2 linked regions of the Drosophila melanogaster genome follow. The protein of the gene in region 1 interacts with the protein of each later gene in a pairwise test. Each region holds a gene or a part of one and is shown on either strand. Other genes may lie near its edges.

What was found.
Region 2: the proteins of CG4168 (region 1) and CG10348 interact in a two-hybrid assay, tested with the Drosophila melanogaster proteins (one large-scale study listed by BioGRID).

Annotation. Positions count from the first base shown.
Region 1 is NT_033779.5:15,196,856-15,203,084, reverse strand, and holds the start of CG4168 (uncharacterized protein), read left to right. Parts: upstream 1-2,625; 5' UTR 2,626-3,011; intron 3,012-6,229. Other genes in the region: Sfp35C (seminal fluid protein 35C), read left to right, coding at 1,021-1,048, 1,102-1,263, 1,323-1,378.
Region 2 is NT_033779.5:18,728,471-18,734,731, reverse strand, and holds the start of CG10348 (uncharacterized protein), read left to right. Parts: upstream 1-2,207; 5' UTR 2,208-3,835; intron 3,836-6,261.

The sequences.
Region 1 (6,229 bases):
AATGAAAGCAGAAAAAAAGCGAACCAAATACAAAAAAAAAAATAAAAAATAAAAGGGGGAGATTGCGAAAATTCAACTCCAACACGAAAAGGGCAAGCGCGAGAAAGGAAACGCAAAAAAGCGAAAATAACATGGAATTGTTAAGGAACTGCAAACTGCAAATCCATTAAACCACAACAAGAACAAGATGCAGCAGGATGAGGTTCAGGATAAGGACCAGGATGAGCACAACCGAGTAAAACTCCGAACTACAGTAGGTATTGAATCGAAATGGGGAATGTTTCGACACAATTGACTGAAAATTGTTTGTTAAATGTGCAGAGCGTTGAGCATCACGAAGGACATTTGTAAATGTATTTTTTTCGGATTAGCCGAAACGGCTTACACTCAATCAACCTAAACAATTTCCTGAACAGATTTAAGTTATTTTCTCATGAATTTTAAATCAAATCCATCTAAAGTATTTCCGTTGCTGTCCTCATAGTTGCACTCAGTGCTATAAAAATAAGATTACATTTTTTCTAAGTTTATCGAATCGATTGTAACTTCTTATATACCTCAATTTTATTTTCAGGTTGTGACTGAGCCGATTTTTTTTACGAAATCGACTCTAAGCATATCTACAATGAAAAATTGGCATGCTTAACAAATGTTTTTTGTGCAGCATTTTTTGAAAACGTATATTACTATGAAGCAGAATCCAATTGTTGTGGTCTTACAAAGAAAATTAAATAATTATTATTTTACATATTTTACCTTAATGAGTTTAGTTAACCCGAAAATTCTCAAGCTGAATGAATGAATTTAGTGGACTACCGGTTAGCTATTTCTTCTGACTAAAATAAGTTTAGAGTCAATCGCACATTCATTTTTAACATGTACTAAACGTATTATACCATCTCGTACAAAATTTAATTGGATTGTAATGCTTTTTTAACGCATTTAACCTTAACCAATATAACCAATAAAATGCAATGTACTTGAGACTGTTTAAGTCAGTTATAATCGGCTACTATCATTATGAAATTGTTTTTCTTAGTTATTCTGGGTAAGCTAAAGATTTTCTAAATATTTTGATCATTCTTATTGTTAATCAAACAGCCTGTATGCTAATCGGAATTGCATGGGGAGAAAACTGCAATAAGCCGTGCGGAAAATGCATCTTGCCCACCTGCAATTATGATGGCAAATGTTACTTTGAGGGAACTAGCGCTTGTGCTCTGGAAAATGAAAAGTGCCGACGAAAGAAGAATAATCTTGACCGTGAGCTTTATGTTTGAAATGTTTTTTACCCGATTTTAACTTCTTTTAAATGTATTTAGAATTCGTAAAAACCGTGTCTGGGTTCTGTGAGATGGGCGTTAAAATGTGTAAATAGCCAAATAAAATGTTTTCAATTGAATTATATAAATTAAATATATTTCTTTTAAGAAATAAATAGTTCAAAAATAGTTCAATTGCTGTTTGTCCACTATTTTGATGTTTATTTCATTTGGGAGTTTTAAAAAGGGTATATGATATGATTTTTAACCATAACTTAGTTTCGCCTTAATGAAATAATCTACTGCTAGTGCTACAAGTCCAATTGCTCCGTAGTTTGACCGATGAAAACCTCAAGAAGACAAATATGAGGAACATTTTACTTTGCCACTCAAGCCCCAGAAAAGCAAACCCAAACGAAACGAAACGAAGCGAACCAAACCGAGCCACCCAACTATGAAAAATTTAAACTTTGCATCCAAGCCATTTATTCATCCTGCTTGGCATCTGCCATCATATCTTAGCATGCGGTTCTGGCTTCGTCCGGAGTTCTCTGCCCCCATTTTGCATCTTAAAGCCTCCATCTTTATATCTTTAACCATCTCTATGCTCTTCGGTTCTTGGGCAGTTTGGGGTGCACCTTAAAAATTAATTGAAACATCACTACCGGCTAATATTGTAGATTAAAAACAGCAAAAGGAGCTGTGCTGGGTAAGAGGACCGAAATGGGCCGCACCTAGATGAGGCATATAAAACTTTTGGGGTTAACTGAGTGCTCTAAAAACGGTCAGAAACTTGCAAATTGCCAGTATGCTTGGCCATTTATCAGTCTTAGTTGTGGGTTAGTTGGAAAGAATGTTCCACAATAAATTCGAACAACAAATTTGGCTTCTTCTGGAGTTTATTAGCTGGCCGCCGGAATTTTGCGGTCAAAGGGCGACCTGAACTTGAATCTGGCCGGTCGGTCGCCCATCTCCCGCACCTCACCCCCACCATCCACCTATTGTACATCCATCTTCGTCTTTGCCCCCATCAAGTCACTGTCCAGTTTAGAATTTCTTTGAATACTCCGCCTGATGACAGAGCATTGCCAGATAGCATACTAATTCCGGCTCAGTCACTGCGCATGCCCAGATGCTCCGGTAATCGTGGGTCTTCGGGCTTTGGGGCTCTCGCACCAGCGGCATGGGTCGTGTCAACTGACTTCGGGGGCTTCGGTTTTTGGGTCTGTTGCGCCTAGGACAACAATTTCCGTGTTGCATGCCTCGCCTTCGGGTGATCTAAAAACGAAGCGAGTGTCGAGGTCGCCAACGTGCCATAAAATGCGCATAATGTGGCACGGATGTGCCAGTCCACGTTGGTAATTTGGCGCGTGAGCATCGCCGATTATCATTTTTGCCACAAGTGGCAGCCCGTATAGTGATGTTGCTGGTGCAACGGCAACATTTCGTACCTCTAGCCGGCTAGATAAAATCGCGAAATGGTGACCACAAATAGATAGGCTTTGATAGCCGCGAAGCATTAACCAGAGATCGTATCGGTCGAGGGAGATCCGGCAGTGCTTATGATACCAAAAGTAATCAAGCGGTGATTGCAAAGTGAAGTGATCAGTAATCAAAACTCAAGTGGCACGAAAGCAGAAAGAGCAAACGAAGGAGAGAAAAGTAGCCTAGGCACATGCAACAACTGGATACGGATACGCTTTTCAAGCCCTGAACAGCCGCCGACCTACGAACCCACCCACAAGTCAAGTACGTAACAGATTGATGAGCAAGTCGCCGTCGCTGTCTCAAAGAACCACCCACTCACTTGGCCCCCCCACATCATCATCCTCATCCACCTCCTCCTCCTCCAACTCCCAGCCACTCACTCGACCAGGCACTTGACTAAAAGTTCAATTTCCTGCAAGATGCTTTAATTGAAGCGCACAGTAAACAAGAAACAGAAGCGGAGAAACAGAAAACAGAGTGGGCAAGGGTCACTCGTCGCCTTGGGTGCCTTCGCTCTGGTCAGTCATTAGTCATTTGCTCATTTCCGCAAACGCAGCCCGGATGTGCAGCACTTGTCAGTCAATAAACAACCTCGACGGGGGGTGGATGATGGGTGGTGGACGGATGATGGGTGGCGATCCACCCACTCTCCCAATTAAATGTGGCAAACGTATCAGCGTCAATCACCGATTCTGATGGCCAGGCCAGTGCATCCTGCCGCTTCACTGGCGTTTCCACAGATCGGCTGAGGCATCGGGAAAATGTCTCGGGCTATTTACATTGCCGTCCAAGGGATTGGATGCAATTTCGATTGGTTCATGGATCAGGTTGGACTTGCTTAAGGTTTTAATTTAACAAGCAAATGTTGGGTACCATACACTTGCAATGATAGTTTGTTTTATTGAGAGCTATTGATAAACTAACAGCTGTTTGACAAACAACTAAAATAACAGCTGAGAGTTAGTCGAAATGTCTGTAGATTTGGCAAATAAAATATATAAACACATGTGTGGTTTTTAACAATTTTAGATCAATTTTAGTTTGGTTGCAAATTTGGTTCCCAAAAATTATCGCCATTTATATGTAGCAAACAATAGGAAACTACGTATATACAAATGAAATATAAATGTTCATACAAAGATTTTTTTCGAAGGAAGGATTAAAAGACAAAGTATAAGTGTTTTAAACTTTTCTCAACCACTACATTTTTTGGATCTGTGTCTTTGGTCTTTAAGATGATGGAAAGAAAAAGTGGAACGCGCAGAAAAATCTGGAGGTGTAGTGTTGCAGTGGCAGTGGCAGAGTGGGTGAGTGGGCGTCGGTGGGTGGCAGGGGGAGTGGCGACTGCATATGTGTCACACATTGAGTTTCTTGGACAACAATAACCAAGACGGACAGGAGCAGGGTGCATCGCAAAAACGGTGCATAGGTGCTAAAAAAAAAGAAACAACGAGGAGCAACAATGGAACGGAGGTGGGGAAATATGGGGAATGTTGGGGGGAGTACGCAAGCTAACCCAGTTTTTTTTCGACGCTGGTTCTTCACAGCTCAGTTTTGTTTTGGGCCTCCTCTTTTTTTTTATTTTGTCTACTGCTGCTTGGTACATTTCTTTTTATGGCTTTTACGAACTGGCCGCAAAACGACGACGACGAATAACCAACTTCACTGACAGCAGAAGAAACGAAAATATTTCGACCAAAAACTGCCAGACTTGTCCAAAGCCACCCACCACCCACCACCCACCAACCCATCCCACTGGATGAAACCTGTTTTGTAATTGTTGTGTTTTTATTCCGAGTATGCGTGTTGATGCGGATTTCTTTGGCTTTCCCAGCGCCTTCTGGGCTCTAGCTTCTTGCCTGGGCCATTGTCACGTAAATCTGTGACAGAAATTAGCCTCGTTGACAAAAATATGCCTGCTTACACATTATTTGTACAAACAAATAGACGGGCAACAGTTAATGGGCGTGGAGAGTGTCGTCCTCGTGGTGCCTCTGGGTTCCATGGGCACCGTTCCATGGGGTTCTTGGGTTCTTCTGACGGGGGTGTTGCAGATACATGGGTCTGGAGAAATTTGCATGGGAACTGCGCCAGTTGACGCTGTTATTTCTTGGCCTCTTTTGGGCGAATTCCTCAGCTAGTTTTGTGGCTGTCGTCCTGTCGGCTTTTCTTCTTCGCCTTGTTTTATTGATCTGTTTATGCTTTAGGACCTCTGGCCCTACACTTCCCCCCCATCACAGCAATCTCTGTCAAACCCTCATCATGGATAAACAAACAAAAAAAGTTTTATTTGTGGACTACTGAAAATGCAAAATAAAAAAAAAGAAAACAAAAAGCAAGGGATGCGGGGACCGCAAATGTGCTTTTTCGGGGCAAAGTTGTGCCTAGGCTAATGACCAGACAGGCGTGAAGGCAATCATAAACTGCGTACATTTCATCCTCCCACACTTCGCACTCGAAGTTAATTTTCCTTGACCAGAGTCTAGCCAGGTTGGAAAGTTTACTCTAGCTCTTAATCAACTCATTATAATGAACAGAGAAATAAAATATCCATAACATGCCGTCGATTAAATTATTTGGTTGCCTTACGGCACTTTTGCTGATTGACTTTATGGAGTTTTGGTCTGATTTTTTCCAATAAAATGTAATGAGATTAATAAATCAAATTGTTGCACATAAACGATTAATGCTATAAAAATGTATGCATGTATTTAATTATACCGCTTACTTTTAGAGTTAAGGGTATACAACATTCGTTGAAAAGTTTGTATCAGTTAGAAGGATGAGTTTTCGACCCTATATTTTTTGAACATTGATATTAAGAATGCAGATTCTAGAAACGGCGAGATTGTGCATCTTACCCACTCTAACGCTGAGTACAGGGTATCAGATAGCCGAGGAAATCGACTCTCTTTTTTTTATTATTTGTCTTGTCAATTTCTACCGGCATGCCAAACCATTTTGGCCAAGCTCCTTTTGAAATACAAGCCTGAGTCGAATGTTTTCAATAGGATTTATATTTCTTGTAATCATATAAAATTATTTTATTACAGACAGAGGGAAAAATAATTTTCCGAGATTGTGCATCTTACCCACTCTAACGCTGAGTACAGGGTATCAGATAGCCGAGGAAATCGACTCTCTTTTTTTTATTATTTGTCTTGTCAATTTCTACCGGCATGCCAAACCATTTTGGCCAAGCTCCTTTTGAAATACAAGCCTGAGTCGAATGTTTTCAATAGGATTTATATTTCTTGTAATCATATAAAATTATTTTATTACAGACAGAGGGAAAAATAATTTTCCGAACTTAAGCCTTGGCCTAGAAAGTTAAAGTTGAAAGTCAAATAACGGACAATTTTTGACGTCTACAATATCCTTTCGAACCCGGACCCCTAATTACCTGAACCTAACCTTAGACACACAAAATACAGAGTCAATCTATCATGCGATGGGTGTTCTCCTGATTAACACGAAAC
Region 2 (6,261 bases), 3.5 Mb from region 1:
GCCCCAATCATCCAACTGAATTCCATAGCTGACCCACATTCCTCCGCCACGCTAATTAATAAAAGATAATCTTCAATTGAACTCATTTGCAGCACACTGGCCATCATAACAATCCTTTTTGGCCACAGAGGCCCAAAATGCAAGCCAGCCGACTTCATATTATCAAACCATCAATCAAGCGAAGACAACAAGGCGCTTCCCTGCCCGGAAAAGCAGCAAAGCAAGCGAAGGAAAATGCTGTGCGGGCATCGTGTGGAAAGCGGGAGCGGGTGGAAAAAGGAAAGGCCATTAAGGAAAAATAGAAAAATAGTTGTGAACTCATTGACTCAAATAAATAACCAACGACCATGGCACGCGGCCGACGCTGCGAAAGATGAGAACGTTGAGGAGAGTGGGTATCTCGGCCTTCGCAGCTTCCTCTTGGCGGGATGAAGATGATGGCAGATCATCAGCTAGAATAACAAGAGGAGAACAGCTACAATAACAGCTCAAGACGCTACGGAACCTGGAGATTTGCAAATATCTGAGCCATAAAGCTGCCAAGTGTTGGCCTGGCCGATCATCAGCATGATGGCAGCGGAGAAATGGACAGTGCGGACTGCGGACTGCGGACTGTGGACAAACGACCTGATGTGCATGGGGTGCGCTGTACCTGTAACGGTAAAATTTCTACAAGGGAATGTGCTTTCATTTTGAAGTGTTGTATGTCCATGCACTTGGACTTGGACTTGCGCCAAAAAATCAAAGCAACCAAGCTACTGTTAGACAGCCGCAGCGGCCGGAGCAGCGGCAGCAGCAACATCAGCAACTTGCAACAGCAACTAGCAACGGCAGCTGGCAGTTAGGCAGTTAGTCACTTCACAAAGTCATTTTTGATTTGATCGATTTCGTGCAACAGCAACAGCAGCCAGGCACCGCAGCAACATCAAGAGTTCCAGTTGCTGCTGCTGCTGCTATTGCAGTTGCAGTTGCAATTGCTGCTGCTGTTGCAGCTGTGTGAAGTGGCCAAGAAGAAGGCACATGACATGGTCTTGAACATGGACATGGACATTGAAAATGCCCGATTCCAGTCTCGTGCCAAGTAGGACACACAAGTTAAGACCAGAGACCCTTCTCTGACCGTATGTTAATCTGCGATCAGTGAAAGAACCCGTTGAACTTTCCCATTCCCCTAAAGAGTGTGCACACAGAGAAATGATGGGATATTTCTAGACAAGGAGAAGGAAATCAGTCCACAAAAGATGTCCATCGGATTTTTGTCTTTCCTACTTGGTTAGTTTTGCCAAGAGTATAATAGTTTATAATAATTTACAACTGGGTTTTAAGTGTGATTATCCTACCAGCTATTTAAAATAATTAAATACTGATCTAATCTTTAACGCGTAGATTCATGAATAAATGCATCTTTAAAATTAATTCAAAAGTTACATTCCTACAACTAAAATTCGACCCATTCAACCCAGAAGTAATCTCTTTTTCTTTAGGTGCACCCCCCAAGTTACTAGAATGTTGTCCGCTTGTGGCCCGCTCGAGCTTCCAGCGGCGACTGCTTCACGCTCACTTTTCAGATACAGTATCTCGGCGTTTTGTGGAACCCAAGTGAAGCGGCCACGAGATCGGCTTTGGTTCGGGTTCGGGTTCGGGTCTTGAGATCGGCTCTCTGTTCGTCGTTGGGGCGGAAGATCTCCACCCAGTTTTTGGATGCAGGTCTAGCGCTTTTGGAATTTTCATTGAGTAAAACCAGGCAGGATGCATCGCGCGGATCGCTCGGCTGGCGGCCCCTCATTTACCGTTCGAAACTCGTCTAGGCCAGAGCATCTTTGCATGTGTTCGTGTATCTGTGTGAGCACGTTCGCTGGATCGCTCTACATTAAGAAAGAAGTGTATTAGCTTCGATTTATTGCATCGTTGCCTAGGCCCCTGCTTCTGCCTCGGTCGCTGCCTCTGCTGGCGTCGCTGATGCAGTTGGCGTCGCTGTCGACGCTGTGGATTGTGAGTCTCGCGTGGAAGTGGGAATCATCACTGGTGGATCGGGGATCGGTCTTTTATCGTTGTGTATTCATTCAGAGCACCCATACACTCGCCGAAGACGTCGTCTATTTTGCGTTTTTTCCTTCTGTTATGTTTCTGAGCTGAGCTGCTGCTCTTTTCTTAGCTTTTCGTTATTAGGAAATCGAAAACTGAAGCTGCGACTGCGACTGGGTCTATCATCAGTCCGTGAGACGGTCTCAAAGCTATTGGTCGTGTTGTCGCTTTTGTCGGAAAAACAGCAGCACGTAACGCTGAGCAGAAGAGATCCACTACGTAAAGCGGTCGTAAGACGTAACGCCATGCGATCGGTGATAACGGTAAAACATTCAAAATGAAGCGCTACCGTTTTATAGTGAAGTGAAGATAGGATCGCTTAAGGATACATCCTAAATACAAAATATATGTTATGTGTAAATTAAAAGCATATGCAAATGCAAATTCCTAACTGTGTCAATTTCATCCTAGACAAAAACAAAAAGAAACTATCTCCAAACTCGAATCCTCCTATAGACAATAAATCGATACAACTTTGCTGTAAATCTCGAATAAAACGTACAATTTATGCTCCTCTCACACAAATGAAATCACAAATTGCTTAGGAATTTTATGAACTACGCCCAGTACGTGGATGATGTGATATTAAAACACTTGCACAGAGCGATGCATATCTATGGCCTATATATACCAGAGATCGGTGCTAAATCAATGATAACTACTCGCTTAGATCCAATTAATGCAAATTGTGACAGCGCGTAAATGCAAAGTGATCCAAGCCGAGCTGCACGGAAATCAACAACAAATGCCACCGAGACATGTGTACAGGCTGATGATTATGGGCAGACATTAAACAGACAATCCATAATGAAATTATAAAATTGAAAAGATTATAGCCCGGGCTGAGCGATCGTCGAGAGGAAACTGAAACGACTGGGAAGTGCGGTGAGATTGGATCGAAGCGGCTTGGCCGGGGATCGATGTCAACTCCGGGGAGAACAGCTCGCCAATTAAAACGTATTAAATAGAGAAATACATACATATAATAAAAAGTAATTCTAAGCAACTTGTATCATAAATCAGACCAAGCTGGCCAACGCGAGTGATTGTAAAAAGTGTAAAAAGATCAGTAAAATATACCTATATCTCAAAGTGGCAACTTCCCTCGTATATACGTACAACTAAAGCTCCTAATTACCATAAATCTAAAAGTGTTTTAAATACAATAATTTATTAAATACATTCAATCAACATCTTTTACCGTTGACTACGTTTAATTGATAATACGAATATTGGCAGCCAGACAATATTTATATAAAGTTGTACAAAGCTATTTTCTGCTATACAAAAAAAACTACCTAAAGACTATCCTATACCAACTTAAATCCATCCGAAAAAATATCCCCTAAACTGAAGTTCCCACGCGCCATCGGATATCAAAGCTAGATATATGCAATATATCTTATATCTTGGCCCGATCACAGGATGACTTACGCTCCACTACGACAACAACAAAAACCAGCTGAAGCAACAACTATAACCACCAGAAGATCAAATTTGTATAGCAGCCAATGCCAGTCGAGTTATCAACATCCGTAAGGCCGAGAGAGAAAAATACGCTGCAATAGCCAAACGGTGCTCAAATGGTGATTTCTTCCTGCCAGCGGCCAACGGATATCCGTGCGGATTTTATACCAACAACGACCATCGCAGCCACGACAACGAGTTGTGCAATTAGAGCAAAGCTGCACAATAAACTAGAAGAGGCTGGCAAATTGATGCTACCAAAGCGATCAGAAATATCAAGCATGTAAGTTGAAAGATATGCACAAGACAGATTGAGGTTGAGCAAAAGACAGTAAGATACTTTTTCAGAAAGGGGCAAAAACAATATATAAATAAACACCTTAGAATATCTAAATTGAACATAAAACCACAATATCCAAGAAACCTTCCTGCCATTACGTTAACTATAATACATAAATGAATTTTAAAACTCTAATGAACCACTACGGCTTAATTTAATTGATTACAATAAGCACCATCACAGGATCAACAAATATTAGACTTAATGTCAACTGAGGAACATTTACCACCAACAAAAAGTTGATAGATGAATTTTAGTTTTTGTATCTGGCTGCCTCGCGATCAGCAGACACGTATTCGAAAGATTCAAGGCTTCCACCGCTCGAAACTGTATTTTTCTTGTATTGTAATTGATGAATGAATGAAATTGAAGTTCGAGTAATGACGCAGCGATTTCGTGGGGCGGCATTAAGATTTAGCCAGGCCAAAAAGACGTTGCGAGCGAAATAGAGTTGTCCGCGCACAGATACAGACACACTTTTTAATTTGGCAATCAAAAGAAAAAATAAATTATATAATTTTTCTCTTTTGGCTACGCCTAGATTCACGCACTATTGGCCCACCGAGCGGGCATGGAATGTATTTTCTATAAATTCGATTGTTTCCTTAGCTCAAGAAGAGTGTTGTGCTTTATTTTCGAAAGTGATTAATAGGTTTGACATGTTACTTTTACGCTAATTGAGCGATCAAAATCGAATCGAAATGGTGAAGGGCGAAAGGGTAGCAGCGGCGATAATGATAATCCCCGAATGGAATAAAAGTGTCCAAAAAGCGTTTATGCGTTAAATGCACGGAAATCGGCCGCATGTATCCGTCAGATGCAGATACATACATTGAATCCATAGGCATTGGGGCGATTAGTAGCGCCTTTCGATTTTTTTTTTCGCCCCTCGTTTTGGAGTGAATGTTTTGGGCGCGTCCATCGCAGAGGAGGAGTAACGAGGGGTGGGGGCAAATTAAGCAGGTTAATTTAATTTTAAATAGAAGTCGATGGTCGGTCGGTTGGATACAGATTTTTTACTTTTCTTTTTGTTTTTGTTTTTGTTTTTGGGAGTGCGGTGGCAGATGGGCGTAAAAGAAGCGCCCGAAACAGAAACAACAGATCATTAATTAAACGTTTGGAGGTTAGTGAGTGGCCAAAAAGCCAGACAGGTTGATAGAAGCCAGTCCCTGTTCCAGAGCCCCAGTAATGAAATAAACTATTAGACCATTTGATCATTAGGCGAGGAACACGAAATAAAGCGAAGAAGTGACGAATCGATGGTCTGCGGACAGTTCAATGAAGTTCTCAAAAGGCGAGGTCCAATTTAGATTGTGTGAATAGATACACATTCATCTACTTCCCATAAATAATATTTTGAATAAGACGTTCACGGGACTTAAGGTAGTATAACTCACTTAGCGCGTTTATTTGAAACAATAGGTTAGTACATTATTTATCTAAAATGTTTGGACAAATTGGAACAGCAGTTTCTTCTATTATAGTTTTCAAATTTGTAGCTAATACTTGAACTATTATGAGCTGGCTGGAAAATAGCAATAAAATTGCGATAAACCATAAAGCATTGTTAGGGACCGTGAAAAACTTTCGCACAAATTCACACACAGCCCGTTTCACTGAGGTGGCGAAAAGAAATTATGACACTTGATCGTTCGGGGGCAGTGAATAATTTGTTTACGGCATTAAAATGCCAATTAAAGTGCGAGTTGGCCCGAAAGGAAGTAAATCGAGTGAAATGAAATGAAATGAAATGTTTCAGAGATAATCTGCGAAATGATGGCCATGACGCTATATATAGCAAAGCCGGGTCCCCAGTCCGAACCGCCACTACAAAGCTCCCACCGCCAATTGCAGTGGGAATCGCAGGGGAGGAGGAGCTGGTTGCCCACTGGCAAGAGCGTAATCCAAGGTAGTTAATTGCGCCTTAAACCGGAAGCGATGGCTTTGATTGCGTTACACATTTTGCTGGCTGCGAACGGAATGTGCGCTGATTTCAGCTGCCCTCTCTTTCTAGCCAGCTCAGGCCCTCTCTCTCTCTCTTTATTTATCTATCTATCTATATCTACGTGTATTTTTCAATTTAAACTCTATTTTCGTTGGCTTTTCGATGACGATGGTGATGATGATGATGATGGTGACGGTGACTTCGATAACCGCAGATCGGCGCAATCTGAAAAGCAAATCACTCTAGGCTATACAAAGTCTTGGCTCGGAATACACTTAATCCACATTCAAATCGGGGAAAAAGCGGCGGGGACAATGAAAGTTTGTGGAGCCATTACTGCTGCCCGAAATACGCAAATCGATTAAATGAAAAGCCTAGGAAAATCGGGGAAAAGGAGAGCAGGAGAGCAGAGCTGGAAGCACAC